2 linked regions of the Bombyx mori genome follow. The protein of the gene in region 1 purifies or fractionates together with the protein of each later gene. This does not show direct contact. Links are inferred from orthologs where the notes say so. Each region holds a gene or a part of one and is shown on either strand. Other genes may lie near its edges.

Region 1 (3,236 bases):
TATTAATGGAGTGATAGGTACACTAGCAACATGCTCTGGGCTTTGTAAAATATCTCTCATGTGTTGGATATTCTGCATATATTGATATTGTGGATGGTGACACAGATTTTCTAAATACCTAGAGCTGGTACTTGCATACAATGGTGTAATCTGTTGGGTAAAATATTCATGCACAGAGAATGTACTATTTCTAGGAGACCCAAAATAGTTAAATAAATACTGTGAATTTTGTACTCTGTTTGTGTTGTTAAAGTTATTCACTGGTACCGTAGGTATTTCCAACTTTTTTAGTCGTTCCTTTTTCTTGGCGTTTTTTCCTTTCGACGGGGTAGTTGGGGTTACCTGTTCTGTCTCCCCGTTATCACTGTCGCTTTCAATTTGCAAATTCTGGCACTTATTGGAAACATCGTTAATTGATGAATTGTTGAATACCATGGTAGGTACTGTAACTTCTGATCTTTGTTTTTTTTTTGATTTTTTGGGTGTTCGTTTAGGTGAATCGACTTTGTTTTCATTTATTGCTTTGTCACTTGATGTTTTTTGTGGTACTGACGACGTGGAGACCACCGATGTTGTTGGTTCACTGCATGCTGCATCCATTCTTAATGAGTTATGGCTTGACATGGCGCAAAAAAATAAAAACTGTAAAATACTTATAAGCAGGTATGGAGTATTACAAGCCTGCTGCTTTTGTCTATAAATGTGAATGATTACATTTCTCCTCAATATTTACAATAATTTTACACAGAATTATACTCAATTTAATATTTTTAAATATTTATGTACGGCCAACGGCTACAAGACCTTATATCCATTCTAATTTAAAAAATGTAAATATATTTTTTTTCAACAATTTAATATAAATGCTTATCCCTTCCGAATGCAAAGAAAGGTCAAGCTAGTAAATTGACCGTCAGACAGAGCCCACTGAGTTTCTCGCCAGTTCTTTTCAGAGAATCTCGATTCTGGTCCAGTGGTAGATTCAGAGAAGCACCGCTCTAACTAAAGCTAGTGCTAGTAAGTTCTCCATGCTGAGCCTACACGTTCGGTGAACCTGGCTTATCGCCTCGAGGCGCAAAAATTTTGTACCAGTTTTCGAAAAGTAGTAACAATAATAGACTAATAGATTACATTGAAGAGACTCGGGCAAATTACTATTAATCCATTATTTATTTTATTACTTTCTTATTATACTCTGCGCGAGTATCACCTCGAGCTACGACTGAAAAGGTGAACAAGTTACAACTTTTTCGCGGGAACGCGAGGAGTGAAGTTGTGTGATTTGTTTTATTTTGTCTATTTAGTGTTTCTTCAGATTGAAATGCATAATAACGGTGGTTTATTAACTGTTTAGTATCTTTGAAAGTGCACAAATGTGGGAAAATAAAATAAAGCCGCTGGACGTAACTTATCGGGATCATCCAAAACGTCCATTGAAAAAATCTCAGTAAACGACCAACATTTTACTGAGATTATATTTCATCTCATCTCATTTCATTTGATTTCATCCCAGTTGATTAATGTCTCAAATTCTTCATTTCACTCCATATCATCATTTTTCATAAAAATACCCATATCATAATTATCATCTCATCTCATTTCAATTCATTTCATGCCATGCCATTAAATTAATCAGCTTCATTTCATTTCATAATATATTTCATAAAAAAAAAAAAATCTATAACAGACTAGGCTGTATGGTGTGATACCTTTGCCTTTCCATTTGGAAAAATAAAACTACCACTACTTACTGCTGTCAGGTCACTACTCACTACACAACTGAACAAAAACTAAACATAACCTCAAATATCTAATTATGCACGTAAAGTACATAATAACAAATATGTTTTAAGAAAATTCTACAAAAAAGTGCCAATAATCTTAATCGCTTGGTTCTACTCGTGAAAAGCTATTATTGTCAAGACTTCAATTCCTACTGAAGTTGCATAATACAAATATAATAATGAAACTAATTACCCACAATATGCTCACTTCGAAATGCTTGAAAGGTGTTGTGACTGGCTATCCTCTTGCAATTAACGCGACAGACATTAAAGTTAAAGAAGTCGATTTTAATCCTGAATTTATTAGTCGTGTAATACCAAAGCTGGATTGGGAAGTATTATGGGTGGCCGCTGATAGCATCGGCCACAGTGATGGTCTGCCAAGATCTTTAGAAAATAAGTATGATGAAAACGAAGAGTTTTTGAAGAAAGCTCATAAAGTCTTGTTAGAGGTGGAAGTTGAAGAGGGACACTTGACTTGTCCAGAATCTGGAAGACAATTTCCGATTTCTAAAGGAATTCCTAATATGCTATTAAATGAAGCTGAAGTGCAGTAGTTCACAATTTAGAGCCTGTACTAAAAATATTAGTAACAAATTTTTTATTTAAGCATTAATTTTATTGCAGTAACATTACATAGGATTGTTTTATTTTTTATGTAAAGAAGTGCTATGGTGCATGTAAATTTGTTTCATATTAAATATTTTAAGAAATGTACCATTACTTTATAATTTCTACAATATAATTTACTGTGAAAGATTTTTATGTAATCCTTGTATACTAAATTTTAAGTTGCTTAATAGGTAAAATCAGTATGAGGCTGCTTCAGGATTCTTGATAAATATTTGGGGAAAACTTTCTTACGCATATGTTGTATACTAAAAGTATCCTTTCAATAAAGAAAATATTGTTTTTCAATTTATATAATAACTTAACTGAATTATTGAAATGAGGTTATGTACTGTAAACGTGATAACATGTACAAAGCACTGAGGGCACCTTACTTAGAAAATACCAGTGTTCACAGTAGAAAAATGGTGACAATTTCTGACATTATATATTTCCCTATGATACGGTGATTGTATACTGTCAGTCAACGGAACGAATTTCGCCCCAGTAAGAGGACTGAACAGTCCTCGCAGTGTATATTGGAATATAGCCTTTACTGCACACTTTACTCTATTTAAAGCTGCTATATTAATTCAATTACCACTACCTGTACTAATACTATTTTAGTGAGCTTCAAACAATAACCTGCTGTATACAGGCGGACACTTTTTCAACTTGTACCTTAAACAAGATGGTACTTCTTAGTTGTATCCTCAAGGACGTTAATACTGATAACTTCATACTAGTTTAAAAGCTAGGACACTATTGTAAGTAATTGAGACTTCGACCTGTAATAGTATAATTACATCTTTTATGGCTGTAATGGCTTTTAAATTAAATTAT
Region 2 (4,556 bases), on another chromosome or scaffold:
AAGGTGAAATTCCTCAAGAAAAAATACACGTTTATAAATTGATGATGATAATGATCCTTATTACTTTGTACCTTTGTTTGTAACTTTGTCTCAGAAATGCATTTATTACCTAGCTTCATCTTGCATTATCATCATTGATCTAGCCTCAACCATAACTGGCACATATTTCCCTGTGTGATGCTTCCAATCCATAACCACATTGGAGCCCAGTGATAGGGCCAGAATTGTTTCTCCAAATGGACTGTGTTTGTCGACATGCGACGGGATACCTGAAAGAAAAATTTTGTATTATTATTATTTTGGATTATGTGGACATGAGTGTGTGTGTCATGAGGACATTACTACTAAATCAAGAGTTCAACAACAAACAATTTCTTAGTGACTGGAAGCGAGAAAATTAATTATGAAGAACTTTAGAAAATTCATATAATAAAGTAAATAAAAATCACCTTGCCCAGGTAAGTACTTGTTAACAGTCAGCTGAACTGGTACTCCGAGATCGTAACCATAGTGTTGGAGCCTTCTCCACAGCAATTTACAAATCTTTGGTATTTTTTCCTGCAATGGGCAACTCAAGTCAACGTCATTGCTGCCATATCTGAACTCATAACCATAATGTTTGACTTGACGGTTCTTTAATGTTGTTTCTACGTGTTGTATGTTAAAGGTATTAAGGAATAACTTCTCTTCATCTTCGGTAAGAAAATCGGGTATTATATGTAAGCCTTTAGGATTTGGATGCTTACAAATAATATCAGTATCCGGAACTGAAAAAAAATCTTCATTTCACAAATATAAAAGACAGTAATTTAAAAAGGCAATTATTTTATAAGATTATTTGTTATAGGTTTTAGTTAATTTTGTTATAACCAATTATGACAAAGAGATTTGCCTTGAAATAAGATAATTCAGTAATTCAATACATTTCCAACTTACCATTTTCAACAAATGTCACATAGAGTGTTGTTCCATTCTCATCTACCTGTGCTTTCCCATTGCATGCCTCATAAAATAGTGATGCATTCTCGGCTTTATCAAACATGAGATATGAGTAGGATTCTCCTTTCTCGGCAACAAACTTAGGCAATGGTGTGTTTACCTTGTACTCTGTGAGCAGTTTCAACAGTTTTTGCTTATCAAATCCTGTAGCTTGCCCCACATTGCAAAGAATCACATTCTGTAAAGATATAAGCAATTTACCTAGTTCCAAGCCATACAATACATTTAAAATAGAAGATAATACAAATTTGTAGCAGTTTAAGTACTAGTGTTAATGAAATTTATGTTTAAATTTATATCTGGACTATTTTAAGGGATAGCAAGCTAAAGATTTTAATAAACACTTGAATGTAAGCTATGGAAATATTTTACTTACGGGCCTAGGATCTTCATAACAAACAATTCCTTTCAGAGTATTCAATCGGGCAGCAAACCGTTTGCGTTTCTTCTCATGTTTTCTATCGTCTTCCATGTTGTATCAACACTAATTACAAATATATTTAAAGCTTAGTCTAACTAAGGGAGCACTGTCACAAGTAAAAAATACAGAATCTGATACAGAAACAAATGTTCACGTTTGCTTACTTGAATTTGATAATAAGTGTATAATCTATGATTGTAATGTTATGATTGCTCACGAATTAGGTAGTAGGTACCGTAAAATGGGGCGATTAGGGATTGAGAGGCGAATCGGGAAAAAGCCGGGAAAATCTTTCGACGCTCAATATTAGTTAAAAATTCGTTTCAAAATCTTCCATTTTTTGTAGTTTAATAGTAGAATGTTGAAAGTTTACAAAACAACTCTGAATATGCATGATAATAGCTGCTAACTTATAAAAAATCGCGTTTCAAATTAACTTTCTGTGGTGGTAATTATTTTAGTGCTAGAAACTTTGCTCTCTTTTATTTATTTGATAATAATAGAAGACGACTGTGATTTATAAACGTTATTTAGTGTTTGAACCATCATGTATATTAAAGGTAAGTCTCAGTTGTTATTGGTTTTAATGTATTTGATAAAATAAAAATACATGTAAAAAGCTGTTGTTTTTGGGGATATTGGGGACGTCTTAGGTACAAATAACAACGAAAAAGGGGTCAATTGGGATGAGAATACGTGAAATGGAAACGACCTAAGTATAAATAGGTACAGGTTTGTAGGGTTGTCTATGTAGTTATAACAATATTTTTTAAATTTGTTGGTAAAAATCTGGTTTATTCATCATGTTTTTGTCTAGAACTTTTATTCAAAATTATCAATGTGTTATTTTATTGTTTGGTAAATATTTATATTATCGGTTACGTATTGTTTTCTATTTTTAGATATGCCTCGCGTGTACGTATCAGAGTGCAAAGCCTTATAAGAGATATTATCCCTTAATATTAAAAACAGCAATTGGGAAATTGCCTAATTGGGAATAAGTCTTTAGTTGAAATAGCTAAGCAATTTAATATAAAGTAAGTCAAATTTGCACAGACATGTAATAAGAACAATGAAATCTCAAGGTGGACAAAAATGTCTAAGTAATACATAATAACATATTTAATATTTGTTCAGAGTGTCAGTTTTTCAATGTTTTTTATTGATGATCACTTTGTTGGTGCAACTAAATAAATAAATAAATTAAAACCAAGTAGTGCCCACCCTAGCAAATTTCTCATTTCGTCCCAATTAACCACAATTTCCGGGTAAATAGGGATTACACCAATTTTTGCTTTTTTTGCTTAAACTGGAAGGCTAGTTGCATAGTTTTAAATTGGACAACAAAGATGCCCCCAAGACTCAATCATTTTGATCCTGATATACCATTATATACATCAACAACTACCTTAAAATTGGTCATAAAGTTGGAATTTGTCCCTAATCGCCCCATTTTACCGGTACCGTACGGTACCGTACCTATCTATTATCACAAGTAATAGGTTGGGGAAAAGTCTTTTCGCATTATAGTATGTATAAACTTGTAATAAAATCTCTTTGGCTATATTTGTGTCTGGCCGGTTTTGGTATAATTAAAAGTTTAAATTTTAAAGAAGATAATTCCAAATTCGAATTAGGAAAATGTGTGATTTTTTTTTATTTTTCTCACTGTCAAGATGAGTGAATCTAATGAAGAAATTCGATACATTTTAAAATTTTACTACAAAAAAGGTAAAAATGCAACGCAAGCCGCGAAAAATATTTGCGATGTTTATGGACCTAGTGCAGTGTCTGTGAGAGTAGCACAAATTTGGTTTAAGCGTTTTCAATCCGGAATTTTTACTAAGGGGTCAATTCTCTTCATGTCATCCCGTACCTTCGGTGTTACTTTGTCTCACTTCATTCAGTTTTATTTAATTTCGCTCCATTTCCATTTTGAAACAATAGATTTAGGCTTTTTTATAATATTTTGTTGTATGGGCTAGATTCCCTTTGCATGTCCAAAGGACTACTGAAAAATGTGTGATATCTTAAAGTGTCATAGATAGGTTGCAAGGTTAAAATTGTATTTGTTAGGTCCAGAAAATTGATATTTCTTACACATAAATTGAATACTTTATTCTGTGAATAGTATTACAGTATGTTGGATTTGATGTGATATTATCTGAAGATCTACGAAATTTGAACTATTTGTACCAAAGAAAGGTACAAAACATTCATTTAAATGGTAAAAAAATCTTATTAATCTACTGGGCTTGTACATGTGAATAGATAATTGCTCCTTATCCTACTTTTTTCTACGACAATACTTAAATAATTAATAATTATTTAACTTTTCAGGATACTAGAAAAAAGAGGCAAGTTGTTTGTATGGCTTCAGATTTCTTTTACCCGAATACCGGAGGTGTAGAAGAGCATATATTTAATTTGTCACAATGTCTCATTAAACGAGGCCACAAAGTCATAGTACTAACTCACTCTTATGGCGACAGAGTCGGTATCCGATATTTAACCGCAGGCTTAAAAGTTTACTATTTACCTATTAGAGTATTTTATGCCCAGTGCGTATTGCCAACAATGATATGTAATATAGCTTTAATAAGAAATATATTGATAAGAGAATGCATTGAAATAGTTCATGGTCATTCTGCTTTTAGTGTTTTGTGTCATGAAGTATGTATTATAGGCAAATTAATGGGATTAAAAACTGTATTCACTGACCACAGTTTATTTGGGTTTGCTGACACATCAGCTGTACTGACAAACAAGTATTTACAAATATGTCTCAGTGAGATTGATCATTGCATATGTGTATCTCACACTGGCAAAGAGAACACAGTGTTAAGGGCCAAAGTTCAAGCTCACAAAGTTTCGGTGATCCCAAATGCAGTTGATGCATTTTCTTTCATTCCTGATCCATGCCAAAGAGATCAAAAATTTATAACCATAGTCATAGTCTCAAGATTAGTGTACCGAAAAGGTGTTAATCTCATGGCTGCCGTTATAGCAGATATGTGCCCACGGTATCCAAACTTAAGATTCATCATAGGTGGAGATGGTCCTAAGATGTGGCTACTACAAGAAGTCCGAGAAAAAATAGGTTGTCAAGAATCTGTTAGATTGTTAGGCAGCTTAA

The links.
Region 2: the proteins of multifunctional methyltransferase subunit TRM112-like protein (region 1) and alkylated DNA repair protein alkB homolog 8 purify together in Homo sapiens (co-immunoprecipitation; 3 studies listed by IntAct, with this or other methods). This does not show direct contact. The link is inferred for Bombyx mori from reciprocal best matches to the Homo sapiens genes TRMT112 and ALKBH8.

Annotation. Positions count from the first base shown.
Region 1 is NC_085117.1:12,729,421-12,732,656, reverse strand, and holds multifunctional methyltransferase subunit TRM112-like protein, read left to right. Parts: upstream 1-1,777; 5' UTR 1,778-1,963; coding exon 1,964-2,341; 3' UTR 2,342-2,706; downstream 2,707-3,236. Other genes in the region: DIS3-like exonuclease 2, read right to left, coding at 1-624. UniProt on the Homo sapiens protein: Acts as an activator of both rRNA/tRNA and protein methyltransferases. Together with methyltransferase BUD23, methylates the N(7) position of a guanine in 18S rRNA.
Region 2 is NC_085119.1:16,153,029-16,157,584, reverse strand, and holds the start of alkylated DNA repair protein alkB homolog 8, read right to left. Parts: upstream 2,875-4,556; 5' UTR 1,472-2,874; coding exon 1,376-1,471; intron 1,178-1,375; coding exon 937-1,177; intron 768-936; coding exon 450-767; intron 270-449; coding exon 110-269; intron 1-109. Other genes in the region: phosphatidylinositol N-acetylglucosaminyltransferase subunit A, read left to right, coding at 3,645-3,647, 3,761-4,556.